Linked DNA regions of Daphnia pulex. The protein of the gene in region 3 binds, or shares a complex with, the protein of the main gene of each other region. Links are inferred from orthologs where the notes say so. Each region holds a gene or a part of one and is shown on either strand. Other genes may lie near its edges.

Evidence for each region.
Region 1: RING-type E3 ubiquitin-protein ligase PPIL2-like (region 3) and G-patch domain and KOW motifs-containing protein-like share a complex: the UniProt entries of both Homo sapiens proteins name them as parts of the minor spliceosome. The link is inferred for Daphnia pulex from reciprocal best matches to the Homo sapiens genes PPIL2 and GPKOW.
Region 2: RING-type E3 ubiquitin-protein ligase PPIL2-like (region 3) and pre-mRNA-splicing factor ATP-dependent RNA helicase DHX16-like share a complex: the UniProt entries of both Homo sapiens proteins name them as parts of the minor spliceosome. The link is inferred for Daphnia pulex from reciprocal best matches to the Homo sapiens genes PPIL2 and DHX16.

Annotation. Positions count from the first base shown.
Region 1 is NC_060019.1:134,142-144,031, forward strand, and holds G-patch domain and KOW motifs-containing protein-like, read right to left. Parts: upstream 5,897-9,890; 5' UTR 5,800-5,896; coding exon 5,645-5,799; intron 5,581-5,644; coding exon 5,295-5,580; intron 5,236-5,294; coding exon 5,129-5,235; intron 5,059-5,128; coding exon 4,875-5,058; intron 4,817-4,874; coding exon 4,684-4,816; intron 4,619-4,683; coding exon 4,511-4,618; intron 4,332-4,510; coding exon 4,162-4,331; intron 4,098-4,161; coding exon 3,942-4,097; intron 3,880-3,941; coding exon 3,748-3,879; 3' UTR 3,690-3,747; downstream 1-3,689. Other genes in the region: protein phosphatase 1 regulatory subunit 37-like, read right to left, coding at 279-539, 603-1,268, 1,336-1,468, 1,528-1,657, 1,726-1,876, 1,950-2,069, 2,135-2,281, 2,349-2,458 and 1 more; trehalase-like, read left to right, coding at 7,267-7,358, 7,422-7,762, 7,835-7,980, 8,053-8,336, 8,402-8,702, 8,766-8,956, 9,032-9,076, 9,144-9,312 and 2 more. UniProt on the Homo sapiens protein: RNA-binding protein involved in pre-mRNA splicing. As a component of the minor spliceosome, involved in the splicing of U12-type introns in pre-mRNAs.
Region 2 is NC_060022.1:5,689,692-5,699,597, forward strand, and holds pre-mRNA-splicing factor ATP-dependent RNA helicase DHX16-like, read right to left. Parts: upstream 5,241-9,906; 5' UTR 5,091-5,240; coding exon 4,583-5,090; intron 4,524-4,582; coding exon 3,993-4,523; intron 3,909-3,992; coding exon 3,640-3,908; intron 3,577-3,639; coding exon 3,367-3,576; intron 3,306-3,366; coding exon 2,949-3,305; intron 2,890-2,948; coding exon 1,723-2,889; 3' UTR 1,551-1,722; downstream 1-1,550. Other genes in the region: centrosomal protein 43-like, read left to right, coding at 9,498-9,578, 9,636-9,689, 9,754-9,906. UniProt on the Homo sapiens protein: Required for pre-mRNA splicing as a component of the spliceosome. Contributes to pre-mRNA splicing after spliceosome formation and prior to the first transesterification reaction.
Region 3 is NC_060022.1:779,259-789,272, reverse strand, and holds RING-type E3 ubiquitin-protein ligase PPIL2-like, read right to left. Parts: upstream 6,284-10,014; 5' UTR 6,102-6,283; coding exon 6,070-6,101; intron 5,994-6,069; coding exon 5,774-5,993; intron 5,686-5,773; coding exon 5,376-5,685; intron 5,299-5,375; coding exon 5,153-5,298; intron 5,058-5,152; coding exon 4,934-5,057; intron 4,858-4,933; coding exon 4,709-4,857; intron 4,647-4,708; coding exon 4,495-4,646; intron 4,432-4,494; coding exon 4,242-4,431; intron 4,182-4,241; coding exon 4,039-4,181; intron 3,973-4,038; coding exon 3,876-3,972; 3' UTR 3,805-3,875; downstream 1-3,804. Other genes in the region: eIF-2-alpha kinase activator GCN1-like, read right to left, coding at 1-1,555, 1,685-2,696, 2,760-2,945, 3,006-3,201, 3,434-3,542, 3,627-3,641; somatomedin-B and thrombospondin type-1 domain-containing protein-like, read right to left, coding at 6,926-7,140, 7,241-7,317, 7,447-7,576. UniProt on the Homo sapiens protein: Has a ubiquitin-protein ligase activity acting as an E3 ubiquitin protein ligase or as an ubiquitin-ubiquitin ligase promoting elongation of ubiquitin chains on substrates.

The DNA.
Region 1 (9,890 bases), on a different chromosome or scaffold from region 3:
GAAGGGATTCATAATTTTTTGGTCAACAACTCGGGGGGGTTAGGTTGAATGGCGGAAATGGATATCGGGAAAAAAAAGAAAAGGTATCGAAAAATAAACCACCGGGTTATTTTGTTTTGGTACTGTTGTTGTTGTTGTTGTCTGTCCTCCAAAATATAATTTGTTTAAGTATATGTATAGAATATAAATCTGTGTGTCAACAGATGGACCATGTACGTGTGTGATAATAAAAGAAGAATGGGGAACCGGTATTGTTTTGCAATGAGAGAGGGTGGAGCTCAGGTGGTTAAAACGTCAAAACCGACGATAACTTTGCTGGGAGAACTACGAATGAGACTGGTGTAATCGGTGGCAGTTGAAGCATCTTCCTTGGTGCTATCGGCATTGTTATTGGATGAGTGCACTCCACCAGGAGCAGGAGCAGAGTCACCCGTGTCTGGCAGTTCAATTTCGGGAGTTGTCACAGCCACTGGAGTGACGGTGAAACGGGAGCGTGGGGAAGGTAAAGGCGATTGACTCGGTGCATCCACTCGAGTTACCTGGACAAATTGATAAATAAACTTTGAATAATTTTTAATTAAATTAGCACAGTAGAATGTCACCTTAAATCTTCCTCCGCTGGGTGAAGGCAGTGGACTGGGTGACGGACTGGGCGAAGGGCTGGGCAATGGACTGCGAAGTTTCCGCCTGGGCTGTTGATCATCTTCTTTGTTATTCAATGGGAGGAGCAGCTGCTTATCGCTCGGCGGGACCAGACAAGTGAGCGAGATTTTGCGAGACATGACCTCATCAGCATTGGCTTCTTTATTGTTGCTGGACCGCTTGTTGAGATCACTGGGCAGGCTGGACAGAGTGTCACTGTCGTTGGCTTCAGTCTCGTGAGATGTGCAGCAAGTGGCGATCTCTTCAATCAGACGCTGATACTCGGCAGCATTTTGATGGTGGCCGGAGGTAGTAGAAGGAGGAGGATCGATGGGATCCAAGTCCAGTTGGTTGATGGTCGGACAATGTTTGAGAGCAGCAGCCAGGGCCATCAATCCTGCCAGTGCGATCTGGTTTTTACGCAAATCAACCCGTTTCAATTGCGTTCCAGTAGCCAACGATTCGGACAGCGAAATGATCCCTGGGCACGTCAGTCCGTTCTCCTGGAGTCCCAAATGCAAAAGCCAACGGTTGCGCTCCAATCCAGATGGAATGAGTCCAATAATTCCTTCGTCGCCTAATTTATTATGACCCAAATTAAGTGTTTGCAGAGTCTGGTTAGTTGCCTGTTTAAAAATAATAAAGCTGTTTAATTATCGTGAAAGTTGTTTAATGTTGTAATTTAAAATGTACCAAAACTTTGGCGAGAGCGGGAGACGATTCGTGAGTGATACCGTTGTTCCAGACGACAAGCGAGATCAGTCCAACATTATCCAACAGAGCATCGCAAATGTAACCCATTCCTTTATCTAAAATTTCGTTGTTCCTAATATAAAACCCCAAAATTATTATCAAAATTTTGTTGTTTAATTAAATTTGATTCACCTCAAGTCTACGTGCTGAAGTGACGAATTTCCAGTCAACAAAATACCAAGCTGTAAGGCGTCGAAAGGCGTTAATTTGTTTTCGGCCAGGTGCAGCTCACGAAGATTCCGGTTCATTTTCAATGAACTTGCTGTTGAGTAACAACAACTTGTTATTGTGTTTTGTTGGTTTATATTTAAAAATTTTAGTAAACAATACCGATGATGGCAAGCGACCTTCCGGTGAGACCACAATCGTTCAAGTACAAAACCCTTAGGCGAGAGTTGGATCTCAGTGCCCTGGCCAGTAAAGTTGAGCTGTGTTCCGATAGCCCAACTTGAGCTGCGTCCAGCCATTCCAAACACTCGGTCTATATGTACGACACAATAACAAACGTGAGTCATGGGTTAAAAAAGATTGCACAGGAAAAACAATAACCACACCCTTTTGATCATGCGACAGCACGCTTGCCAGCCCCTGCTGGTCATGTTCTTGTTGGAGGCGATGCTCACATGGGTGGCTGCTTCGTAAAATTCGATCATGTCGAACAATGCAATCAGACCCTGATGATGGGAGAATATTACAGCATATGAATTAAACATTTTTCAGGCCATGTGACGGGACTTACATCATCACTGGAGTGGGCATCTCCAATATCCAAGAGTTTCAGAGGAACATTTTTCAAAACATCCTCCAACGATTCACAGTCATGGGAATTCAAGTTGCGTCCTCGCAACGTGAGGCTGGCCGAGCGTGGACGACTCAAGTCCAAAGTCTAACTTCCAAAAAGGGAATAAATTAGCATATATTTTTCCCCATTTTATGGGTTTGTACCCAATGACCTTTAACTGCTCAATAATGTGCTCAACAGGTTCAGCCTCGTTCTTCTTGCACGAAGAGGTGTATGCAGCAACAATGTTGATATCACTTTCTTCTTCGGTAAGGATACATTCTGAAATAATTTTAAACAAATTTATTATCTGGAAAGTTACAATACATAAAAGCCTCAATATACCTGGAACGTCAGGAACTGTGGGCTCTAGGTTCTGGACCAACTGGGTCTCGTCAGAAGGGAAAGAAACTCTCTTCTCCAACATCCTGCGTTTCTGCTTGATGCCTTCGAAGGGCAGGTCAGAAGACTCGTCCAGATTGTGAGAAAGATCAAGTTCATTTGGGGTTTCATTTCCCGTCTGACATGCACCTGTGAAACGTAACCTGCTGCTCCACTCTTCAATTTCTTCAGCCATCTTAGAATGAGTAGCGAGAATCATGACCCACACCTGTCAAGAGGAGTTGGACAAGTTGAGAAACGTGTTCGACGCAGAAAGAAGACATATGTTGGCAATAATAAGTCTATATAGCAACAAGAGTTCTTACGAGCGATCACCAGATAGCATTTCCATCCAACTGAAGCGAGTGCGTATAGATTTCCCCGATCAAAACCTCGAGTTGAAAATATTATTAAATGGGAATAACATGTATAGAGAATTGACACAGTGACCACGAGCACGACGACAAGCGAAAGGGGTATATGTAGCTTAGCGTTATATGTTTTTTTGTTGTTGTATGGCGTGATAAGTCTCGCAGTAACAAGGCAACGACCAATCAGCTGCGAGAGTAAGGAAACAACTGAAGAGCGGCCCTGTTACTGAGCTGTTACGTAGTCTGCACACAGCAGACCTTCATCGTTCGTTCGTTCGTTCGGACTTCGGCGGGAGTCATGAGAAATGACCGAGCGAAAAAAAGCCCCCCCACTGTCCCCCGTAGGGTGGTAGCCTATACGCTTTTCTCGTGAATTGATTGAGCTACGCTGTGTGGGTTCAGTGTACTCTGTACCGAAAAATATCGATGCAAAAATAAAGGGGAACACGCACGTGAAAGGTGTGTACCATTACCGTATTCCCCCTATAGCTCGTGTATTTTTACGATGCCGGTGTATACTTTAATAAATCCCATTGAAAACACACAAAGTTCTTGCCAGACTGACTGGCGCGCCTTGTACTTTCTCATCTCTTTTTCCACTTGAAAAATTTGCATTAGCGTAACGTATCATTAAAATGATAAGAGAGAGAGCTTTCGGCAAACATTTGCATAATGAGAGATTGCCACAGCTGTCTGGGTCACGTAGCAAATTATGTGAGAGGTGCAACAATGAAGACAAAAAGGGTGAAAATCGTTATGAAATTAAACACGAATAGCACATTTGTTTTTATTTAAAAACCAAGTCGAGTTATTTTGTGATTACAAGTTGCGCACATCTCCCGTGTATTCGCAAATGTCGTCGTAGTCTAGTTGGAAAACTTCATCGCGATCCGGTAGAATCTGGACGGTGGCCGTGTATCGTTCCTTGTCCCTTTCAATCACTTGGCAGACCTTTTTATTAAAAAATAAACAAGTTAACAAAAACAACATGTGTGTAAATTTCAGCTAACAACCTGTCCTTTTCGTTTGCCCTTGACGACCATGACGTAAGCGGGATCGCTACGCGGAATGACAGTTTCCAATTTAGAAATGTTGACGTTTTCCAAAAGTTTCCCGTTTTCGGCTTTGCAAATGCAATGATTCTTGGAAATCACGTCCACCACAACCATCTGGAATTCATACCAATCGGCGTGAGAGAAATTCATCTTTTATTTTTAGGACATTTTTATTTACTTTCTGTTTGTAGAATTGGCCGTCCTTGAATGAAGAATCGACGCAGCGGACTCGCAAGAGTGGGTGAAGCCAAGGTTCTCGTTTCTCGTCAGAACCTTTCGACGACCGATTTTTAGAACGAGATTCTTTCTTCTCATCACGGCGCTCCCGACTGCCACTCCGACGACTACCTTTTTTAAAATAAAAGGAAAAAATTATTATAGTGGAATTTCATTACAAACTGATTAATTAACAACGGGAAATTCTGACGGTACGGGCTGGGCGGCTGGCACGAGAACGCCAATGATAAATGTAGGAAAGCGTGACCTTGGGTAGGAGGAGCTAGACAGGACAATCTATCACTACTTACGATGGCTAGGACTATGCTTCCGTTTCTTTCTGCTCTCGCGATCATTTCTTTCCTTCTCGTTTCGCTCCTTGTCCTGTTTCGTTTTGTACTCGTCGTATTTTTCCTTGTCTGAGAATTAAAAGAAAGATGATTAATTTCAAGAAGAAATTTGGCTTGAAATAGATTTAATTTACTCAGAATCCTGGCGGAATCACGATATTCTTTAGCAGAAACTGGTTTCAGAAAGAGCTCGCTCATTTCCAATTCGTTGCTTCCGACAGCCATCCGCACCAGAGCACGACCAGTGTTTGCGTCCATGCTAAGAACCTGATGAAACAAATTTAGTTATAATTTAATGGCAGATTTTAATAGAATTTTTACTTACTTGTCCATATAAACCTTGATGTTTCCCGCTGAGCAACTGTACATTTGCACCGATAATCACTTTGAGCTCTTCTTCGCCTTCTTTTGGCTTTGTTAAAGCTTTAGCTGCATTTTCTAAAACAGTACGGTCAGCCCCAAGACCAAGTCCTTTAGGCCTAAGTTTCACCTCCATGGGAGCAGCCACTCTTGATTGAATAAAAGATAATTTGATGAGAATTCAGAACCATTAATTAATGTGAAATATGGCAATGATACCCTTTTCTAGAGAGACCGATACCCTCTGAGGCTTTCCAACCCATTCCTCTCAACATGGCCATTCCATAGGCTTCCACTGGGATCGCTTCATAATCATCAAGTGTGGACTAGAGAGAAATGTCAAGAGTTAATTACATAATTAAGGTGCAGTTGCGAAATTCAGTACCTGATCTGCACGGAGGGAAACATCTACTTTTTCATCTGTTTCAAAGCCAGATGGAACACGATTTTGCATAAATAGGGGGATATCAATGTTGGAGGGTACGCCATTGCCTCTGTTCTCCCAGCCATCAACAGCCTTCAGTGTTTCTTGCAGGATTTCTTTTTCGGCTTGCTTGTCCAAGTCTGATGCTTCTGTGTTCTCGGTTTTGGTATCACTGCCAGGGGTCCTCCACCGATTCTTTGTTATAAGAGGAATAACCAGTTCCTTTTTGGGTGCTTTTTTGATGGATCTAAATAGAATAATGCAGAAAATGAATGTAAAATTAATATTTTGTGGCGGGAAAAGCAACATACCCATTGATTTTGTTGTGCTCGACAGTTTTGACGAAATCAGTCTCTTCGCGAGTTTCTTGAGTCGTATCCAATAGTTTCGACTGAGTTAATTTCACGTTATCATGTTTCTTTTTTGAACTAAAGGCAAAAGACACACCAGGCTTGGTTTCCGACATAATGACACACGAATACGTTAATATCAAGGATTTCCTTTTCGCTCAGAAGATGTCTTTATGGAAACAACAAAAAAGGTGGGGAGACGCAAGCAGACGAACATTGAAAAATCAAATCAGACAACTGCCGTGCATTCTGCGGTGGTATTATAACTACGCGTAGCTTCTGCATAATTTTCGTGTAATTAAAATATCTAATTAATTCGCTAGGCGAAGGCGATGTTTCGTCGTTTTAATTAAATTGTCTGAAGGAAAAATTCAATTATGTTACTAGGCAACTGCAACTGATTTGATTTCATCCTGCCTGACGCTGATGCCGCCAGGCCACAGCCGCGGTTGCCTCTAGTGCCTACTTGACTTTGATTAAAATGTAACCGAGTACGTAATTAAAAGGAAATGGAGCACGAAGATGAGAAGATGATATCATGGGCTCATTTTGTAACTGCCTGTAGCGTCACGCAATGGAGATGCTCGCATCATATTGACAAAGTTGTAAGGCTTCATCAAAGAATTGAGGTCACTATATATTGATACTGATGCACGTAGACCATTGAAGTGACATAATCATGTGACACAATCAAGTATATTTATTTAATAAAATCGAACGACCGGGGCCTTGATTTTTTTGTAGGCTGGTTCCGAAATTGACCAATCGTAACCTTCGGTGTAATCTACCAGACACTCGCTAGATGTCTGCATCGGACGAGTCAAGCAGACGACAAAATAAAACTCTAGAACAAAAATATTTACGCATTTACGAGCATCGACGATATTTGTTCATTCCAAAACAACTACGTACTGCCATAGAGTGTTGGGTTTGATTTCGTCATTCACTCCTTCCTCTATGGTACTACTAACACAGTGCTGTGACATAATTCCAACCGTATGTTATTACAAAACACATTTATCCTGACCTGAAATTTATTTGTACCAAGTGTCTTGCTCCCATTTCTAGGAAAAATAGGGTTAAGGTTACTCGACAATTTGTTGCTTAACTTGGAATAGATTGGCTGTTTTCCCAAATAGTAGTTTATTTTTAAAAAAAGATTGATTTCATTTCGTTCAAGGTCTCCATGTAGCCACTGGCCCTATAAAAGGACAACCATTCGAGGTTGTATTAGTAGTAGAATAACCCCAAGAGACGATCTTTCTAGTCTGTAATTTTCCATTACGACGACGACATTTCAAATCTTTTACCAAATTCAGAAGGCCGGCAATTTAAATGTTTTAAAAGTTACCTCCAAGCGTTAAAAAAAGTCCCCGTATACAACAGGTAGTAAAAAAAGAAGAAGGGCGTCGATTTACCCTTTCTTTTCTCAATTAAAAGGGTCATTGACGTTTGTTAACCCCCCTTCGATTTAAAACGGTGAAAAAAAGAGGTCTTTTACGGTCAAGGTCATCGACTGTCGTCCGCCAAACCGAGGAACTGCGTTCGACTTGTTTGCCTTTTTCGCCAGTGCATTCTGAACAATGGTGCGACTCGTACGTCTTTTCTGCTTGTTCATCTCTTCTGCCACTTTTGGACTTGCCCAAGTTCAATCTCTTCCTCCGCCATGTCCAAGGTAAATTTCATCTATTTCTGTGTGTGTTGGCAATGATTAATCTTTTCGTGTTTCTCTCAATAGTCCCATTTACTGTCACGGTCCACTCTTGCACACGGTTCAGATGGCCAAATTGTATCACGACTCCAAGACTTTTGTCGACAAGAAATTACGTTTCGACCCAGAATTAGTTGCAGCCAATTTCACTCAACTGATGAACCTTACAGACAATAGTCCATCCCAAAACGATCTCGTCATCTTCATCAGTCAACATTTCGAGAGTGAAGGATCAGAATTTCAACCGTGGGATCCTTCCGACTGGCTCGACAGCCCGTCATTCCTTCAAAATATCAACAACACACAATTGAGAAATTGGGGGAAAGAATTACATGGAGCCTGGAAATTCCTAGGCCGACAAATTAAAGGTACAATGCAAATTTTATTACAAGTTTTCCATTTTTTTAAATGACACATTTGTCGTAATTCTTATATAACAGATGACGTCAAAGAACGCCCCGAGCTATACTCGATGATTTATGTGCCTCATCCTTTCATCATTCCTGGAGGAAGATTTCGTGAAATTTATTACTGGGATTCTTACTGGATCGTCCAAGGTCTTCTCATCTCTCAAATGAACCACACGGTTGGGTCTAAATAATTTTCTCTAAAAGTTTAAATCAATATTGACAAAACTTTTGATTATTTTGTCTATTAGGTGAGGGGAATGTTGGATAATTTCCTGCATATGGTGGATGTTTACGGCATGGTCCCAAATGGCGGTCGCATCTACTATCAGCTGAGGTCGCAGCCCCCAATGTTGATTCCCATGGTGGATCGTTACATCAACGCCACTGGGGATGTCGAATTTCTTAATGGGCGGTTACATCTCTTGGAAAAGGAATTTCAATTCTGGATGGCCAACAGGACAGTCTCCGTCAAGGGACACACTTTGGCGAGGTTTAATGTCGAATCGGATGGACCACGACCCGAATCTTACATGTAAGAATTCCTTGATTTAATTCGTTTTTAATAGAGGTTAAACACATTTTTCTATCAATTCCCAGTGAGGACTTTCATTCGTCTGCCCACATGAGTGAAATCGATCGTCAAGACTTTTACATCAACATGAAATCGGGAGCTGAATCCGGTTGGGATTTCAGTTCCAGGTGGTTCATTGTAGACGAAGGTCACAACGAAGGCAATTTGAGCCACATTAGTACCCGCAACGTCGTGCCGGTCGATTTAAATGCCTTTGTTTGCATGAACGCTCGAATGCTTTCGGAAATGTTCCGCAAAGTCGGAGATGACAGAAAGGCTCAAATGTATCACGACAAGTACATCGAGTGGAAAAGAGCCATTCAAGCGGTTAGAATAATTCATTTTTAACCCAATTAAATTGATTAATTAACTTTTGATTCTTTTTTCTAGGTGCTGTGGAATGAAGAACAAGGCATCTGGCTAGACTACGATTTAACTAATAATTTGCAACGACCATATTTCTACGCATCGAATATCGCTCCGCTATGGGCCGGTTGCTTGGATGCCACTCCATCCGGTGGCGTAGACTCTGCTGTTGTCCACAGAGTGATGGATTATCTGGAGCACAGTCAATCTACAAAGTAATAATGATGATGTTGATTATTATCGATGTGTTTGTTCACGTTTTTCTCGACTTTTCGATTTTTTCTTTTTAGATTTGCCGGAGGAATTCCGACATCCATGCAACACACTGGCCAACAGTAAGTGTCTTATTGACCCTACGGTTTATCTACTGAAGCCTAAACAAATATTTGCCTTGTTTTTCAGATGGGATTTCCCTAATGGGTGGCCGCCCCTGCAACACATGTTGGTTGTCGGTCTTGAAAATACCGGTGACCCCAGAGCCAAAGCCTTGGCCTTTAATCTCGCCCAAAAGTGGCTGATTAACAATTACGATGCATATCAACAAAGTATGCCCAACGCCATGTTTGAAAAAGTACGTCCAAGATAGTCTCTGATTTAATTTAAACGGTTCAATTTTTTAACAAATTCCTTTCCATTGGTTGTTTAGTATGACGTGACTGTTGTTGGACTACCAGGAGGTTAGTTGAACAACACAATTAATTTTATTCAATACCCTTATTAATTTATCAATTTTTGATGTGCAGGTGGTGGTGAATACGACGTTCAGCTTGGCTTTGGTTGGACGAACGGTGTCATTTTAGATTTCCTGCACATTTATGGTGATCGATTGGTGACTGAACAACCGACAAATACTTAATTATTATGTAACTATCTGATTTCAGTTTTTGTGATGAAGAGAAAGAAAGAAAAACCACTATGATTGTAAAATTTTATTGACTATTTTATGTAAAGTAATTTCTTTTCTGTTTGGTTAATTTCCCTGTAATCCTTGTTACATAATTTGCATTATTTTGTGTTCCCGATCCTAGTCTCATCGCCATATTGTACATGATTTCAATTTTTTGTAATTTTTCTTCTATTTTTGGGTTTAGAATACAAATTGTGCACTTACAAACCAACTGAATAATTAATTAATTAACAAATCAAAAT
Region 2 (9,906 bases), about 4.9 Mb from region 3:
AAGGGCAAAATGTTGATCACGACGCTGTGTTGTATTATTTTATTCTTTTTCACGAAAAGAACAAGCCAGGACAGCGGCCTGTTGTATAACACTCGTCATTTATGGCAGTATTCCAGACCACCCACCATCTTTATTCATTCTTTCACAATACCATCAGACTTTTTGGCCTCGTGATAAAAATAATGCAACGACTCGGAAACATTGCAGCAAAACCCCCCCACACACACCTTATTCATCTTTATTCCTCGAGGGGGGAGCGGAGGGATGCTGCGAGGGATTCATTTTCAGACAAATTCGATTTCCCAGTCCAAATCCAACAGACACAATAATCCCAAATATTTATTGGAGCAGTGACACACTCTTCTGATTCAACCCTGTCATTGACTCGAGAAGCAAAAGACCTTATGTTTAATTCTATACAAGAAATGTCTTTATATAATAATAATAATCCGCCTCCTGGTAATAACACCTTTGTTTCTAAATATCTTGCCGGGTTATTCATCAGAACTGGTTGTCAACCGCGACTATTACTCGTGAGAAAAGCCCACCCAAATCTCTGTGACTCTTTTTTTCAAATGAAAGAATAATGACGTTATATGTTTCGTGTAATTTAGACGTTAAATACAAAGGCTAGCAATTATTTTATTCAAAACTTTTGGGAAAAGACATCCTTTTAACACTAAAATGGGTGCCCTACTTTCCGATTGAAAAAGAAACCTTTTTTTTTTCTTTTTCGGTCGGCTCCAATAGATTATGCCACGAATCCAATAAAGACATGGACGAAGGAATTTCCTTTGCTGCTGACCGTTTGTATCTGAACTAGACCATCACCTCATGAGTTGGAAAGCGTGTTCGGTGCTTCACTCAATCACTGCTGAATAATAAGACTCTCGAAAATGGATTCCAAGAACCAATCGGGAAGCTACGGTACTATACTCTATAGAGTCTGCGACTCGGTGTCGAGACTCGAGCGTAGGAACGTATAATGTATTCAATCTTGAACGTCCTTCATGGTAGTGCCTAAAAATCTTTACCTCATGAAGGTGCCCTTGTCACTGTAAGTTGTTTGCTCTGCGCGTATCTTGCGCACTTATATATACGTCAGATTTAGGTCACCTCCCCCCAAACTTCTAATGTAATTTAAGGGTAGATTACTTACAAAAGTAATTACGGTTTCGTCTCGCTCAAAAACACCCGGATCACTCATTTTTAATAATGCTACTAACTACACTTAATTTACGCTCAACTGAGTTGGCTTCGGGTTTTGGGAACTTTAAAAAGTTACCCCTAGCTTTGACATGACTTGAGCTGTTGCTGGTTATCTTTATCACTTGTCAGATGCATACAGTCGCTCTACCTAGAAGCTAGATGCGTCAGGACAGGAGAACTTTAGTAAATTGTGTTTTGTACGTGGGATGTTTTACAGACTTTGCCAAAATTAGTAAAAAAAAAAAAAATAAATAAAATCCGATTTACCTTAGATCACAAACATTTAATATGAATTAGAGATGCGGAAAAAAAACCAAACCGTAAACATTTTGGAAAAGAAATAGAAAAAAAGACTGTATATTTATCGGCCCCAAAAGATCACAAGATGGCAAATAACACTGATAAAACCTGAAGGTGATGGGCACGCACCTTTTCAATATGCATGTTATCACTAAAAAATGATGCATCACGGATTTTTTTTTTTCAAGATTCATTTCAGTGGTGTGGTCAATTTCAATGGTCACCCAACTCCGCCCGTGATTTGCCCTTATTTTTAGGCATCTTGCGAGTAGTTGTGTCTTCCAGGTCCTTGGCTTTGTAGTAGTGCGGAGCCACTTCCAGAAGCCAACTGTTCTCAATCTGAATAACTTGCCTCATGTACTCTTTAGTAGTAAATACAAGTTCGTGATAGATGAGCCAACGAGGAAGTTCCTCAAACATTGAGCTGTTTGGGTGGATGAGCACAGTTTGATTGTGTTTGACTGTCTTGTATCCGCCCGTCTTGGACAGGCGCGATGTGTTGTAGAAGAATCCAGCCGTAACTGCCTTGCCGATAGCCACTAAATCTTCTTTATTAGAAACCATGTCAATTTCAACTCGTTCCACAAGGCCGACAAGCTGTTCTCTGACGTCCCTTGCGCGTCTCATTGATCGATGCTGGATGAAGTTTTCAAAGCACCATTGCGTCGAGAAATCCGTGTCAACCCATTGGTTGTAAACGTTGAGTAAGGTAAAATGGTCGCCACCCGGTGAAAAGAAATTCTTTCGAGCCGTGTCGGCATGGATTGCTTTATCTTTGGGTCGATAGAAGACTGCACTGTTGACTGAGAGCATGGCTGCAATGGTGACGATCTCTTCCGAACATTTGTACTTTTCGGATGCCAGGAGCATTTTCGCCATCATAGGATCAACGGGGAATTCAGCCATCCGCCTGCCCAGCTTGGTCAATTCGCCCATGTGGTTCAGGGCTCCTAGAGCGTAGAGTTGTTCCAGTGCCAAAGCCAAAGTCTCGTGCGGAGGCGGATCCAAAAAGTCGAAGTGAATCAAATCGTTGATTCCAAGTGATTTGAGAAGCAGAACGACGTTGCCTAAATTAACTCGCTGAATTTCTGGCACAGTGTTCTCTTCAAGCTCGTGCTTGTAGGCCCATGCTGTGTATAGGCGGAAACATTTGCCAGCTGCTACACGTCCAGCACGTCCAGCTCGTTGATTCGCCGACGCTTTCGAAATAGGAACGACAACAAGGGATTCCATGCCAGTTCGGGCATTATAGGAATTTTGCTTGCAAAAGCCTGGGTCAATGACGAAGATAATGTTGTCAATAGTCAAAGACGTTTCTGCGATATTCGTAGCCAGAATGCATTTCCGTGCTCCGGGAGGCGTTGGCTCGAAAATTTTTGCCTGGCAAGAGAAAATGAAAAGATATGAAAAGGATAAACTTTGAATAAGCAAAAACGAACCTGCATGTCTGACGGTAAATTTGCGTAGATAGGAAGAATAAGCAACTCTTTGATCCTGGTGCCCAATCTTCGAGTACGTTCCGTCAGACTCTCCAGTGCCGTTTCAATTTCTTCTTGACCAGTAAGAAAGACAAGAATGTCACCCGAGTCTTGTGTGACGTGAATCTGTAGAATAGTGACAACGCAAGCATCGATATAATCAGCCTCAGGAGCTTTGGTGTAAAAAATTTCGACTGGGAATCTTCGACCGGGAATCCTAAATATAGGAGCTTCGTCGAAGAAATCGGAAAACTTTTCAGCGTCCAATGTAGCACTGGAAATTAGCAGCTTCAGGTCAGGTCGAAACCGTGCAATATCCTGAAAGAATTTATAGGAAATTATTCAACAATTTAAGAGTTGTTGTGTAAGGACGGCTCACCTTGATCAGCCCAAAAAGAATATCGGTATGGAGTGTTCGCTCGTGGGCTTCGTCAATAATCATGACACTATAGCTCTGCAAATCGGGCTCAGAGAGAAATTCACGCAGCAACATACCGTCAGTCATGTACTTGATAACAGTCCTCTCTGACGTGCAATCTTCAAATCGAATGCTGTAGCCTACTTCGTTACCGAGTTTCTTGCCCATTTCCTGTAAACGGAATCGCACAAAATAAGATCCTTGTCAAGATTACAATTCTTGATTGAATTCTACCTGGGCGACACGAGCAGCAACACTCATGGCTGCAACTCGACGTGGTTGGGTACAACCGACTTTCTTGCCATCTTTACAGTATCCCGCTTCGTACAGATACTGGGGAATTTGCGTCGTTTTTCCTGATCCAGTCTCTCCTTCCACGATCAGGATCTGATGGTCTTCGACGGCTTGGAGTAAGTCTTCGCGAAACGGAAATATTGGAAGCGATTTCCTCGTATCCTGAAGAGACATTTTCTTTTTCTGGATGTCGCTTACCTCAGGTTGTTCTAATATAGTTAAAACGAAAAAAAAAGGTGGAGGGATAAGATTATTAAACATTTATTCAGAAGGTTTTAGGTGTGTTACTTTACCTTCGATACCCTTGGTTCCTGCAAGTTGGTTTGTTTGGATAAAGTCAATGGTGTCATCCAATAAGAGGTCATAATCATGAACTTTTCCCTTCTCCTGAAGACGCTGTTTTGCATCTCTGGCACCGAAATTCCACTGAGCAGTGGCCATGCGAGCATCTTCCCAAACTTTTTGTTCGGAATGAGGTTGCTTTTCACGGTCATCTATCTCGACGTACCTATCAGGCATTGCTTTGTCCCGCTTATCATCGGGCATATGGTATCGTTGAACCAATTCCAATTCTCGTGCTTTGTCATGTTCTTTCGCAAGACTGAGAATTTTTTTCTTGTATTCGCGATCCTTTCGTTCACGCTCCGTGAGTTGTTGCTCATCGAACAAGTACTCATCGTCGAAAATATCTGCTTCCAATTCATTAATCTTGTCTCCTTTTCGCTTCTCCAAATATTTTCGACGTGATTCCACTCTGAGTTTGGGAATAACGCTGGCTTTGTCTTCAGCCTCCATTTGAAGCCTCTTTGCAGCTTCAGCAAAACCTAGATAATTTAAACATTTTATTTTAATAGTTATTACAAATATTAAATAGTAAATATACCTTTTCCCACAGTAACCACATTCCTCTGTTTATCTTTATCTTTGAGTTTAAGACGTTCAGAGAACTCATCTCTTTCCTTCAAATCTTTGACTCGTTGTTTTTCATCTTCATCTTCACTGCTTGAATCAGACTTCTTCTTTTCCTTCTTGATCTTTTTATTTACTGGTGGTGGAGGTGGTGCCATTCCTTCTTCATCGCTGTCTTCTATCAGCTTATATCTCTTGTTTTTTTCGATCATTGCTAACATGGCTTGTTCTTGTTGCTTGGCGGCAATTCTTTCAACATTTACTTTAGGGGCAGCTCTCGGAATCTTTCCCCATAACTCTGATAGAAAACTCATCACTTTTGCATTTGTCACATCGATAGTGTCTGTGAAACGAACTTTTTCGATAAGTTCATTCACTGAAGAACTTTTATGAGCCAGGGATGTCAAAAACTGAGAAGTATAGCGGTCACTGAAGTCCAATATCTCGATTAACTGATCGCTAACCCACGTTTCTAAACTCATTTTTAAATGTTTATTAGAAACGAATTTGTAAACAAGGCATTAATAACGTTGAGTCCGTCTGAACTTGCCGGACAAGCAAAAAAGCTACAAGATCTTCCACGGCAAACGAAGCAGACTAACTTGTGGAGTCAAGCCTAGCGGTCAAACAACACAGTCTTCACCAGTGAACTGATACTGATCCGATTCCGTGTCGTTAAAAAACGGATTTTTTGAGGGTTGTAGAACGGATTGGTTTCCGTTCTCTTACGCTAGAGTCGCATGAAGGCAATAACGTTATGCCTACCCTCTAGCGCCTCTAGCTGATTCATAATCGGATTCGTTTCAGTTAACCGATTTTTGACAAATCAACGCGTTTTTCAAATCAGTGAGCGGACCCGTTTCCGTTCACAGATTCGTTTCAGTTTATTATCAACTTGTTTTTTATAATAAGAAGCCGAAACCTTTCCATTATTTGAACGGCTTCGTTTCCGTTTCCATATCACGTTTTTAGTAAACAAATAACTATTTGCTTATTAGAATATTAACCGATTTTAATTGTGTTATTGAAAAGCAAAACAAACAAAATGTCGTCGGACAAGAATTAAGTGATCTGTTGAGAGATGCAAAAGGAGTGAAACAGGTTTGTTGTTAAAAATTTGACAGCTTATTTGTAGCCAACGATTTGATTCTCACAGAGCTTCTAAGTTATTAACTATTGTTGAGGAAAGAATTTAAATTTCTAATCTTAATCTTGTTTAATTTCTATTCCTACAACTATTTCTTTGTCTAGCAAAAACTGAGAAAGTTAATTTCGTCAGCACAGCAGCACCCAGTGACCCAGAAGGAAGGGATTGTTTTGATATCAAAACAATTCAACCTTCCTGCAGTAAACTGAAGCCTGACAAGATTCATTTAAGAGGCTGATGGAAACAGAAATATTGTGTTAGAGACTTCTGTACCAAATCCATATGGAATTCACCTTTACAACCTGCTTGAATAAGACGTTGAACAGAAGAACCTCATCTAGTCTCGTCATCACTCTCATCTGTGTTGGTAATTTAATGATCAAATTTATAAGTGACAACACTTCTGTAACCAGATCCCTTCCCTCAGGCTGCAGAGCTAAAGTTGGAATGTCTGTTGTTCAATCTCCAACGTGAAAGACCAGTCATTGGAGATTCTTTGAATTCAGACAATGTTCGAGTCAGAACTCATAGATATCCTTTACCAGCAGCACTACTACAGATTATTGCAACGAAACAAAAGGCTGAAACAACTAAAGGGAATCTAATCGTATTTCTTTTTATCTTACTCTAATGATGCATTGTTTAAACTATTTGTGATTCTGATTCAGGTGGACCGGCCTCAGAATTATTGCTCATTGATTGGGCTGAAAGGATTGAATGGCAAGGCATACCAAGCACTTCGAATACTTTGATTTCATTAGGCCTACTTTCAATTTAAACTTTCATTTCATGTAAATTTTCAAAAGATGTTGAATAAATTGTGTATTGAATTATATTGCTATATTTTCGCGTCTAAAAGCTCGGACATCCATACATCCATATATACAAACACGATAAATGAATTAACGCATGCCTCCGACTCTACAATCGTTTCTTTAATATAGGCTCATAAAAATAAGCATACCGTTTACCATAACGAATATCTTATCAAGCTATATAAGAAATATGTGTATGGATTCCACCGTATTAGTTTCTTTTCATGTATGTGATGTCCAACATTCAAATCTCCCACCATTAAAAATGGCCTTCAGCTGCTAGAAGCTGATTGGGCGTTTATTAAATTGATATTTCTATAATTTTTATAACAGGTATAATTGATAATGATGCATCAGTAGATGCACTAGTTCACGACGATTCTTAAAATCTAATTATTTTGCTTAAATGGTAAAGATAAATGCCCGTACGAGCATGCCAAAGTTTCGTTGTTTTGACTCATCTTCCCTTCCCCTAAATTTTATCAAAAATTTAAAACATTAATTGCGACCTAATTATACGTCGAAACTTAATAAATCTTACAGAAATGGATAGCTCTCGTCAAGATCTATCCATTTCTGTAAAATTTGAAATGAACAAATTCAACACGAAAAATTTTCAAAAGAGTTTCTACTTTTTCGTTTTTGCGGTTCGGCGCAATACTCGACCTATCCGAAAAAACGAAAAAGTAGAAACCCTTTCAAAATTTTTTTGTGTTGGATTTTTTCACTTTAAATTTTACAGAAATCGATAGATCTCGACAAGAGCTATCCATTTCTGTAAGATTTACCAACTTTCGACTCATAATTAAGTCGCAGTTAAATTTTTAAATTTTTGATAAAATTTGGGGGAAGGGAAGATGAGTCAAAACCACGAAACTTTGGCATGCTCGTACGGGCATTTATCTTTACGTTTTAAGCAAAATAATTAGATTTTAAGAATCTTCATGAATCGGTGCATCTAGTGATGCATAATTATCAATTATATTCGTTATATTTATTATAGAAAATAACAAAAATGAAACGCCCAATCAGCTTCTAGCAGCTGAAGGCCATTTTTAATGGTGGGAAATTTGAGTGTTGGACAGTACATCCACGAAAATAAAACTTATGATGGAATCTACACATATTTTATAGCTTCATGTTATATTTGTTATGGTAATAGTAGGATTGTTATGAGCCTAATTGAAAGCAACGATTGTAGCATGATTGTATAGCTGTAGGCAGCATGCATGAGTTAATTAACTTGCCGTGTTTGTATGGAGGACCGAGCTTTTAGGCAAGAGAATAAAGGATATGTGAAGACAGTTTTGATTCGATACACAATTTATTCTATACATCATCTTTTAAAATTACACGAAAGTTTCAATTAAAAGTAATATAAACCAAAGTATGAATTTGAAGTGTTTGATGTAAGTTGCAAGCCCAGTCAATTATATCATGTGAGACATAATTCTGGAGCCTGTGCCTGTCCACCTGATTTCACAAACACTTAAAAGAATGAGCAATTTGAATAAGATAAAAGAAATATGAATAGATTATCTGTTTAGTTGTTTCAGCCTTTTGTTTCGTTGCAATAATCTGTAGTAGTGCTGCTGGTAAAGGATATCTATGAGTTCTGACTCGAACATTGTCTGAATTCAAAGAATCTCCAATGACTGGTCTTTCACGTTGGAGATTGAACAACAGACATTCCAACTTTAGCTCTGCAGCCTGAGGGAAGGGATCTGGTTACAGAAGTGTTGTCACTTATAAATTTGATCATTAAATTACCAACACAGATGAGAGTGATGACGAGACTAGATGAGGTTCTTCTGTTCAACGTCTTATTCAAGTAGGTTGTAAAGGTGAATTCCATATGGATTTGGTACAGAAGTCTCTAACACAATATTTCTGTTTCCATCAGCCTCTTAAATGAATCTTGTCAGGCTTCAGTTTACTGCAGGAAGGTTGAATTGTTTTGATATCAAAACAATCCCTTCCTTCTGGGTCACTGGGTGCTGCTGTGCTGACGAAATTAACTTTCTCAGTTTTTGCTAGACAAAGAAATAGTTGTAGGAATAGAAATTAAACAAGATTAAGATTAGAAATTTAAATTCTTTCCTCAACAATAGTTAATAACTTAGAAGCTCTGTGAGAATCAAATCGTTGGCTACAAATAAGCTGTCAAATTTTTAACAACAAACCTGTTTCACTCCTTTTGCATCTCTCAACAGATCACTTAATTCTTGTCCGACGACATTTTGTTTGTTTTGCTTTTCAATAACACAATTAAAATCGGTTAATATTCTAATAAGCAAATAGTTATTTGTTTACTAAAAACGTGATATGGAAACGGAAACGAAGCCGTTCAAATAATGGAAAGGTTTCGGCTTCTTATTATAAAAAACAAGTTGATAATAAACTGAAACGAATCTGTGAACGGAAACGGGTCCGCTCACTGATTTGAAAAACGCGTTGATTTGTCAAAAATCGGTTAACTGAAACGAATCCGATTATGAATCAGCTAGAGGCGCTAGAGGGTAGGCATAACGTTATTGCCTTCATGCGACTCTAGCGTAAGAGAACGGAAACCAATCCGTTCTACGGCCCTCAAAAAATCCGTTTTTTAACGACACGGAATCGGATCAGTATCAGTTCACTGGTGAAGACTGTGTTGGGTCAAATGGATTTTTAAAAAAGCCGAAAAAGGAATTATGTTATTTTAATGATTTAATCTTACAAAAAAAAATTTTAAATCCAAAAAATCTTGTAAAATATTTTCAAATGTTTATTCGTAAATTATTTTACTTCCAAGTAGGCCTACATTTGGACAATGACAATCACAAAAAAATTAGTTTTTACCGTGTTAACCAGGTGACGCTTTCATCATTTGAACAATTTTGAATTTCGTCGCCATTGACAACCGCCAGCCAAAGTCAAACACAAACATGTCTACAGAAGAAGATCCAGAACTTCGAGATCTTATTGCAAAAACTCTCGAAAATAATGGTGTTCTTGGAAAATTAAGAGTATAATACATATTAGACTTTTTTTTAATTTGATTTCTAATCCATTATTTTATTAAGGCTCAGTTACGGGCAAGCACATTTCTGGCATTAGATCAACAAGAAGATCCTAAGGTATCCCAGAGTAGTTACTTTTGAAATCGTTTAGTCATAATAAAGTCAATATATTTTATGTTAGGTCACTTTTCCAAACAGCAATGTGGCTGTCCAGCAATTTGCTTCATCAAAGAATGGAGCTGTCACAATGTCCCTTGTACGAGATTTCCTTACATCATTCAACATGCAGTTTACACTAGCAGTGTTTGATCCTGAAACATGTGAAGGTGTTTCT
Region 3 (10,014 bases):
GAAGTAGGCGGGGATTGTTTTGCGGATAAGATTGGCCGTGCTTGCCGACCGATCTCAGACCAGCATGTCGCTCAATCAACTGGATGCCCTGGACAGCCAAAGCTTCCTCCTTGGATCCGAGAAGTTTCAACGTCCCGCGTACAAATGGAAACGTGTAGGTGAATGTAGAGGCGTTCAGCGGAGTAGCGGAGGCACGAATGACCTGCTTGAGAACTCGTCGCGAGGCATCGTCAATCGATTCAGTTTCCCAGGCCGGATCCAGATCGCACATGGGCTTGGAGAGGCGTAGAGTGACGTTGGCAATGCTCTTGGCTAATAGTTCCATGTCGGGTTCAAAGACGGATTTCCTCAAGTCGACCCAGAGTGGTGTCAGCAGTGGAGCTGCTACGGGAGAGCTCATGGCTCGCATCATCCAGGGAACGAGCTGCGTCAGCTGATTCGACAGCACACTGGGCACGTTGTCGATGGCCGATTTCAGCATGGAACACACCTGTCGGACGACGACATCCAAGGCCGCAACTTTGCTTCTGATGGCGCTCTCCTTCTCCAACTGGACGCGAATGGCCTCCTTCTGTTTGGGCGACATTTCGGGCCCCTTCTTTTTACCCTCTCGTATCCGTTTCTCTTCCAGTTCCCGGATGAGCTGCAGCTCTTCCATTTGCTCTTTGTACGAATAGGCTTTTGATTCTCGCTTGATATTCCGAGCGGCTTCCTCTTTCGCGTTTTCCAGGACGCTCCTGTCGTACAGTTCGCCTTCTCTCGTTAAAAAAGTGAAGTAATCGTCGCGCGTCACTTTGAGCAATTCTTCTTGGCCCAGGGTGGCGCTGACTGCGTCTAGCACGTCCTTGATTGTCTCTTCGGGAGCTAATTTCATGAGTCCAGAAAGGGATGCTTCCGGCCAAGCTCCCGGCTTGTGATTTTTGATCAATTCTTCCTTCAGCTGTGCATAACACCGGGTCACGAGGGTTTTGGGGACCTGACCAAAATGCTTGACGATGTAGTACCAGCAAAGGGGCTGAATAGCGGCGATGGCCGGGTGGTGAGCGGCTTTGAAACAGGCTACAGCCAATCGATTGTACTTGTCTTGGGATAGCCCCTTCACGGTGGTGATTGTCTGCAGGCAGAAAATCAGCGAATTGGCGTCCGTCTCGGTCAGCGAGGCAGAAAGAACTCCTCCAGCCGACTCGCCTTCCTCACGATTTCGAATACCGCTGGTAACTTTCACGGTGTGCAAATAGTTGGTAAACTCTGCAACTAAGGCTAGAGAACGATCGATGCTGGACCCGCTGGTGGGATGAAAAATCTTCTTGACAGCGGCAGCAGCTCGAGTACGAAGGGAGAAATTTGGTCGAGTAAGTGCGAGAACCATCGCACGGTAGTAAGGCGCCGTTTTATCACCGATCCGTTGTTCGTGGTTGACGAAGAGCGATTCGCAGAGTAAGACCACTTCGTGCCATATCTCTTCGCTGAACGAGGATAACATTTTCTCATTAACAAATAATAATTTGTCCCCATCTGAAAGAATGCTCCATAAAGGACCGCACTGAGTTTCCGCCTGAAATAATTAAGCGTCAACATTAGAACTGCATTTTAATTCAAATGAATTATGATAAATATTTATTGATTTATAAATAAATTTGAATAAAAATAATTTAATAAATAAATTATGAATTATTTGATTTACCTTCACATCTAAATTGGCGCATCGTAGCAACAAAGTAGCGGCAGTCAGACCCTCCGAGACGATAGCTGCTTGCGTTGGCTGAGCAGTTGCTCGTTCCAATGATTTCAAGAGAACAGGAATCAATTCAATGCCTTGAGGCAAGCTTTCCCCGTGCAAAGATGCTGCCATGCAACGTATGTATCCCGTTCTGATTCCAGGTGTTGACGTCTTCAATCCCATTCCTTTCTTGAACATTTCCATCAGCGACTTTGGGATTGTGGCTGCGAAACGATTCGTCCATAGCAAAAGAGCCGAAAGAGCTTGAGTTAAGGTCCCTTCGTGAACTTCCGTGTCCAGAATTTTAACAAAGTGTTCTGCAGCGTCGCAGCTCAATTGGTGAGTGCTGGCGCCGGTGGCACAGTGTTTGCTCAAGTGGCCGATCCCTTCGAGGATGGAGATCTTGTGCGAGGCAAGGGTCAACTTTCCCTCGGAACCCTGCAGGACGCCAAAGTAAAGATTTAAGAGTCCGCGAACCGCTGCTGCCTCGCTGCATTGCTTGGCCAAGGCCTCGGTGGCAATTGATGCTTCCGCTCGGGTAATGTCCTCTTTGGAGTGAAGGCAAGTGACTATAGGTTTGGCCAAATCAGCGGCATATGCGCTCAAATCAATAGAGACGGAGGCAAGCACTTGGCCGACGCATCCTAGGATAATTTCCGGGCTACGAAGCATGCCTTTCAGCAAAGCAGGAAGAAGTAGACTTTTGAAATCTTCGTGTGTAAGTAGTTTCAAAAACGGCTTGCACTGCTCCACAAAGTAGACATCTGGCTTAACTTTAGTGGTGATGGCGATCTTGATGAAGGAATCCAACAACGAGCGTCTCATTGATTGCAATAGCTCAGCATTCTTGTTAGCTTGAACGAAGGTCAGAAGAGCACAGCTGAACACCAAAGACTGGAAAGACGTCTCAAGTTCACACAAAGCTGCCCAATATTGGGCTTCTGATCCAGGAATTTGTTTCCATCCTTGCACCAGTCTAAAGAAAAAGAATCCATTCACTATAATTTTTAGATTTCTCAAACAGTCTTTTAATTCACACCTGTGATTTGCTTTTTCAGACATCTTCTTGGATTTTGAAGCCAAAATACTGGTGTACAAACAAGATTGGGCTTCAACTAACTTTTGGAAAGCAACACCTGTACAATTTGAGGCATCTTTGAATCCATGGACCAGCAATTTACTTGACCAGTCAAAAGCAGCAAGCAGTTCTTTTGCCAGTGTTTCCCTAAACAGAAAAAATTCAATAAACAAGGTAATACAAATAATTTCAATGTTTGCTACTTACGATGACGCAACATTCCTGTAGGCTGTAGAATATGCAGCCAAAGTGGCGGAAAGATGTTGTACTGTTGGTGCATTGTGGTGCTTTAGTAGAACAAGCAAGAAATCTTGAACCAATTTTCTTGAGGAACTCTTGTGGTATCTTGGTAGTGTAAAGACCAAAACTCTACACACTCCTTTAATAACACCCTCACTGACATCTAAAAATAACCCAAGAAAACAAATGTATTACCAGATTAATAACCGAAACATTTTGGCAAAAAACTGCTTTATGGACTACATCTCGAGAACTCGTAAACATGTTTTAAAATTTCCTCTAAAGAATGCCACTTGGGAAGGAATCTGACAGCAGAACAATTGTATTGGATTGTTAAAAGAGCAATTTACTCAAGTCTAGCTTTAGATATCTCGGTAAAAGAGTTATTTATTTACCAGAAGTCGTGTCCGAGAAGGCATCGTTTAGTGCTTTAAATACTTGAAAACGTTCGAGATAGCTGGCTGATTGTACCCTCAAGGGTAAATCTTTCAGCGCTTTCGCTAACTAGAAAACAAATCACCAAAAGACATTGATTATTGAACGCGTAATTTAACAAATTATTATTTATCATAAATGTGGTTTGCTTACCGGTTTGTCATCCATCGTGTGTCGTTTTGGCAGACGAGAGGACAATGCTGCGTTGCCGTCGCATATAAAAAAAAGTCAGTAAAATTGTGAACCCTTCCTTCCCCTTTTTCGATTTTTATTTTTAATTGCTACAGAATTATTGAGTAAAAAAAATGACATACAATTTGATAAGAACAAGTGTTCGAGAAAGAGTTTATTTTTAAAAAATCAGCCACAAGTAAGCAAAGAATAATCCAATATCCGGGAAGGTCACCAATTACTGAAATTACCAAATGAATAGTTAGCAGATGTTTTAGCTTTTTTATGTTGAGAACTGCCGGATTCTTCTCCAGCCGAATCAGCTGGTCTATAAAAAAAAATAATAATAAGCTGCAATGAAACTATTTTATTTAATAGAAAATTAAAGATATACTTGTTGGTGAAAGCTTTAGGGTTGATGTATTTTCCTACACCAGATTGTTTGAAAACCTTAAGCTGGGCTTTAGGGATGGAAGCCTTTGCTTCCTTCAACTGTCTCTCAGCTTCTTCTAGCGCTGCGGCTCTCTCAATCACCAACTAAAATGTAAAAACAAAAGTAAATTTTGCTTCTAAGGTTGAATTGATTTTCTCGGCAACCTTTTCGTCTACTTCGGCATATGGGTCTGTAAATATCTGTGACGACTCAATAATAATCTCTTCTACGGGTCGATCTTTATTGTCAGTACCAATTCGTTCCATAGCGCTCAAAGTTTCCATTCCACCCACGACACGACCGAATATTGTGTGCTTTCCGTCCAGATGTTTACACGAGCGATAGGTGATAAAACTGAAAGAGTAATAATCAAATTGATGCGTAATGTATGCATAGAACTAGATAATTTAAACGTACAACTGAGATTTATTAGTGTTGGTTCCCGAGTTCGCCATCGATAAAATACCCCGACCGGTGTGGGATAGATTCGGCTTAAATTCATCTTCAAATGATCCTCCCCAGCAAGACTCTCCTCCGGTACCAGTTCCAGTGGGATCGCCACCTTGAATCTGGAAAATTTTTGTTAGGAAATCTCTGTAACAGCCCGTGATCACGTTGAGATCTACAGTACCATGAAATGCTTGATAGACCGATGAAACTTGGTGTTGTTGTAGTAGCCTTTTTTGCACAGGTTGACGAAATTTTCACACGTTTTAGGTACCATTTCACAATGTAACTCTAAATTAAGAGGCCCGACATTTGTAACTAGTCTAACATAACCTAAGAAATTAAATTGATGAAATAAAAACAAATTTAGATGGTTTGTGAAGAATTCATTACAAGAAACTACTTTAACCTTTTTTCTTAATGCGCTGATATCGAACGATACTTTCATCGAGAATTGCTGGTTCATGCTTAGTTTCTGGTGCCATCACCGTAGAAGTAAAACCAGCAGCGACAGCCCCGGTGGAATAATGAGCCTGATAGTTTTTTTTTGTTTTATAAACAAGTTATAAAAACGAAAATAATAATAAATAAAAGGGATAAATTTAAAACTTTAACTGAATCAAATTACCGCATTAATGGAATCAGCTACTGCTTTTACAGTTACAGTCTCTTCAGGTGCCTTGTATTCCTGTTCTAATTCTGCCAAAACTCCCTTCGTTTCTGCATTGATGTATTTGAGACGGGCTGCAGGATCGGTTTTGGCCCTTATTAATTCTAGTAGAGAGAATCATATTTATGAAAGCAAATCAATTGGCGTTGTTAAGTCTATAATCAATAAGACAACAAATTACCTTCATTTTCGATTTTTTGGTCATGCGTTACATGATAAAATTTAGCGATGTTAAACTTTTCTAGGTGAGATGGGTCTTGAAGAGTGATAATGTCTTGACGAGCAAATGTTTCATCTGTTAACAACTCTTTCCAGTTTTTGGGCTTCAGATTGAGTTGCTCTACTGCCTCATAGGAGAACACATTTCCAGTAGTTCTGATGGCCACAATGTGGGATTTGTCTGTGAACTGCTTGAACAATACAGGGCAATGGTATGCCCCTTCAGCATTTTTATGATAATTTAACCTCAGAAGGGCTTTGCTTTCCAATGGCTAGAAAAATTAAATTCTCATAAACATGCCTTTCTAGTTCAAGTTTATCGGATGAAGCAAACATGCAATACCCATAAGCAAAACTTACTTTTCCTGTTACTGGATTAGTTTTATACTTTTTCAAGTATGGAACTATAGCAAGAAGGTCGAAAACATTTCCTTCAGTGTCACACAAAGGATTCTCAAAAAGCTGAAGTGACAAGGCACAGTGATCATATGGAAGTCGTCGAAATGAAGCACTGGCACTATTTGGATTAACAGGCTTCTTCCCACCATACAATGTGCTCCACTCTGTACTTGTCAAGTACCTAAATATAAGATAGTAAACTAGTTAGTGTTTTCATACTAAACATATCATTCAAATTGAAATATCTTAGAACTTGCATTTTATCTTTCTGGTGTTGTCGTTTTCCCATTTTCAGATAGTTTTCACGCTTTGATGAAGAAAAACAGTATCAAAGTTCTCTGTGAAATACACAAATTAAAATCGAGCAAACTTTTTTCAGTTTATGGAATAGAACGCCAAACGACTAATAAACCGACTTGTTGTTTTGGCACACTGTCTTGAACGTCGTCTGCTTACCCTTCAAGCTTCAACCGCTCGACTTAAACTTTTAAACTTTTTGTCTTTTTATAACGATTATTGAATTGTTCTACCATTTAAAAAAAAATTTTATGTACGAAAAATAACATCCAACGATCACATCATCAAGAATTTCATTGGCCAAATTAAATGATGAAATATTGGTCGTTGGACGTTCAGCCACTAGGGGGCCAGGATCGACCTTCATAAAAGCCTCAAAATGATTCGAGATAAGATAATTAAGAGGAACCATTCAAAGAAGACGGCTAAGCCTAAGCGATATGAAAGTCAACAATGCATAATAATTGCTAGACTCCACTATAGACTAGGCAGCTGACAGCAAACAAAAGATTAAGTGAATAAATTGGTTCTATGGAAATTTCCCTTTCTGTGTATTTTCACACTCGCATTAAACTCGATGGGTGGGTCGACAGTTAATTTTTTTGTTCTAGCTTTCGCTCGTTTCATTCGCGTTTTTTTTAATTAAACCACCCTCAGATCGAATATTTTAGGTAAAAAAAAAGAATGATTCGAAAGACAAAGAAAAAAAAATAGAAATAATTAATGTGGTAGCATAACAAATTTAAGGAGATTTTGTTTAAAATTGATCTTCTTCCTTGTTCGTTTCCTTATAGTTTGCGTCTCTTGTGTTGAGACCTAAACGAAAATTAACAGAGCGTCCTCGTCGCACGAACAAGTCGAGCTGGAAACCTCGTGAGATTCATCCGGACGTCTGAGCCATTTGCCATGGCACTCGACGTTGGTCAGCGATGTCCAGCGTGTAATTCTACCCGGCACTCCGTGACCACCGCAACGGCCTCCCAAATAGTCACGAGTAGCCTTGTGTTCACATCGAACACAGACGACGCCGCCTAAACCACGAAAAGGAATAAAATAAAATAAATGTATCAAAACACAATTTTTGAAAAATGATATTTCCATCCGGATATTATTATTCCGGAAGTCAATTACCGTCAGTAAGAGAGTTGAACACTTTCTCTTTGTGGCAGGCCTTGGACACTTTGGTCAGCTCGAATGTCACGCAGTAACTGAATAAAGACGGAAGTGTTATTGCAACATGTATGCGCCAATTTTCAACGTCCAATTGAAGAGCAATCATTGGTGTCGAAAATTTCTTAAATTTTGTGGCTTGATTGTTTATAGGTATGTATCCTCACTCGTTGGTGGAACCTTCCGGGTGCTCCTGGGCGAGCTCAGCGTTGCGGAAGCGCAGATTCTTGCGGATGTCGTGGCTGTCGTTCATCCGGCGGCTGGCACCAAACGAAGCCGGTAACAGCATAGCCATTTCTGTCCGTGACGTCCAACAATAGAAAAAACAAAAAAAGTTTAAAATGTTAGTTAAGAAAATGTTGGAACAATAGCCGCGGTAACTATTATATGACAGGTATACTCCATTGACAGAATTTTCCGGTTCATTTGTATTCTTGACCCAAACTTATTATGATTTCCCCCTTATTATTCTCGGCCCGTCTGACACCCACAAGATGGAAGAGGCTATTCATCCCTCCGCATGTTAAATGTTTGCGCGTATTGTTTCCAAACAACCACACGTCAAAAGTTCAAAATGCATGCGTCTAACCACCGAATTTGTGCCTTATGCGTGTTTCAGCTGGAATGCGAGGCTGGAAACACGCCCGTTTGTGTAAAAATGTAAACCTACCCCGGTACCGTATATACAATAATACACCTATAACCTTTGAAATTTATACCTGTGGCGAGCTTGGTAACCCTGTGCGTGTTTCGTGAGTTCTCATTAAATTCATCAACGACCGCGGTCGCCCAGCGCAAACGCAATTTTTTTTTACATATAAGGGCTCGTGTGTGCCTTTACCCTGCCGCACACTTTTTCATGAAGAACTGCGCCCGTCTAATGTGGTAGGGTACCGGGGGGGAACGCGGAAATGTGTTGAAAACGGTTGAAAAGTGGTGATGGATCGAGTTGCCCTCTCCACGTCTAACCCTTTAAATGCTATACATACTAACTACACACGGGATGATGATAATACATTCACGATAAGAAGGAGAAAACGACAGGGCCCCCTCGTAGGAGGCGGCCAGCAGAGACGCGGGAGATCACCATAGAAAAAGTTTTCGGGTCACGCTATGGACCCACCCGCTGGTTACACACAAAGCTGTCAGAATCACCACAACAACAACAAGAATTCGACTTCTTCCAGCTAACAAAAAACAAAACAAAACAAAAAAAGGTTTCCTAGTTAAAAGGAGATGTTAAATAAATTTCGAATTTTATTCGACGGAAATTTATATTGTTCACATCGACGAGAGATAAAGGAATCCTGGGCCTTTTTTTCCCTCCGATCGAGCGATAATATCCAATCGTCGTCGTCTTTTAAAGAGCTTTTCACCGTTGGAGAACACTCGAGAGAGAGAAGCTTCTTTAGACTATAGAAGAAAAGAAATAAAACCTCAAGTTGGAGAAATCGGAAATGATTGTCTTCATCTTGCGCTTCTCCACTCGTTGAATTTGGAAAACGAAAAAAGGGAAATATCTATCCAGACTGCAATTATATTGTCTATTCATCGAATGGACAATACAAGAGCCTACGTGATGGTGTGTATATATACCGTTGTGCTTGGGCTACTTTCGTGATGTATTCCCATAGATTTTTATGACGCATTTGACCTGGTATAGCCTTATATTTTATTTGTATATGAGGGGGTGTGTTCGGTGTCAGTAGGCCAACAGTTTCCCATGTCCGTATGGGGGCCATTGGGGCCTCTATACGTCTGAATGGCCGTTTTGTTGGGTGTTCGACTGCCGAAAAACTTTGCCGACCGTGACCTGATTGAAACGTCGATAACTTTCGCCTCTCGATCGGCATTCTTTGTCGTCTGCTCACGTGCGGCTAACGCAGCGTTCACGCCTATTCACGCAGTCTACCAGACATGAAAGAGAATTGAGAGAGAGAAATGTTGCATTGAAGATGCAGGGATCGTCTTTACACACATTCGTTCACGCATCGCTTTTTCTATTGTGCGGAACATTGGAAACTCGGCCGCTGGTCGAGTGGACATTACGAGTCGGCATCACGGCCGCACGCACCCAACGCGTCGATCACGAATGGTGACGAAAAGAGACTAGAGCTTCTTTTTTAAATAATAATCAAAAATGGCTGTGAATGTAAGAGGCTCATCGTCAGACACAAATCCATATTCTTCTTTTCATTGCCCGCCCACATCACTACTAGACAGCAGCACTTTGGGTGCTGCTGGATCTCTCCGGATGAACGAAGGCCGACAAGGAGGAGCGACATCAGCAGCTCGGCGCATTGTCCTCGCCGTCCAATTATACTGCCGGTCGTCGACTATATAACAAGACTCGCAAGATATCGAATAAAATAGCTATAACAGTTCACATTATCCTCTCAATCTGGATTTCAGCTCTATAGTCGCCACTGCATTTCAATTCCGGCCGGATGTAGAGGCAGCTTGTTTTTCGTGGAAGTCTGATTACAATTAAGAACATCTTCTTTGTGTTTGATTGCGTCTCTACTCTCCTATATTATTAGACGGCCTACGGTCTATAGGTATAGTACTATACCGGATCTTTGATATACATAAGACGGCTGCTGCCGGGTCCGAAGCATTTGTTCCGGGCCCCTGCGATTTATTTTCCTTAACGTGTACATACAGTAGATAGAGCGGGGTAGTGAGGAACTCTCTATAGTGTGTATAAGGTATATAGAGTACTGGTACACTACATC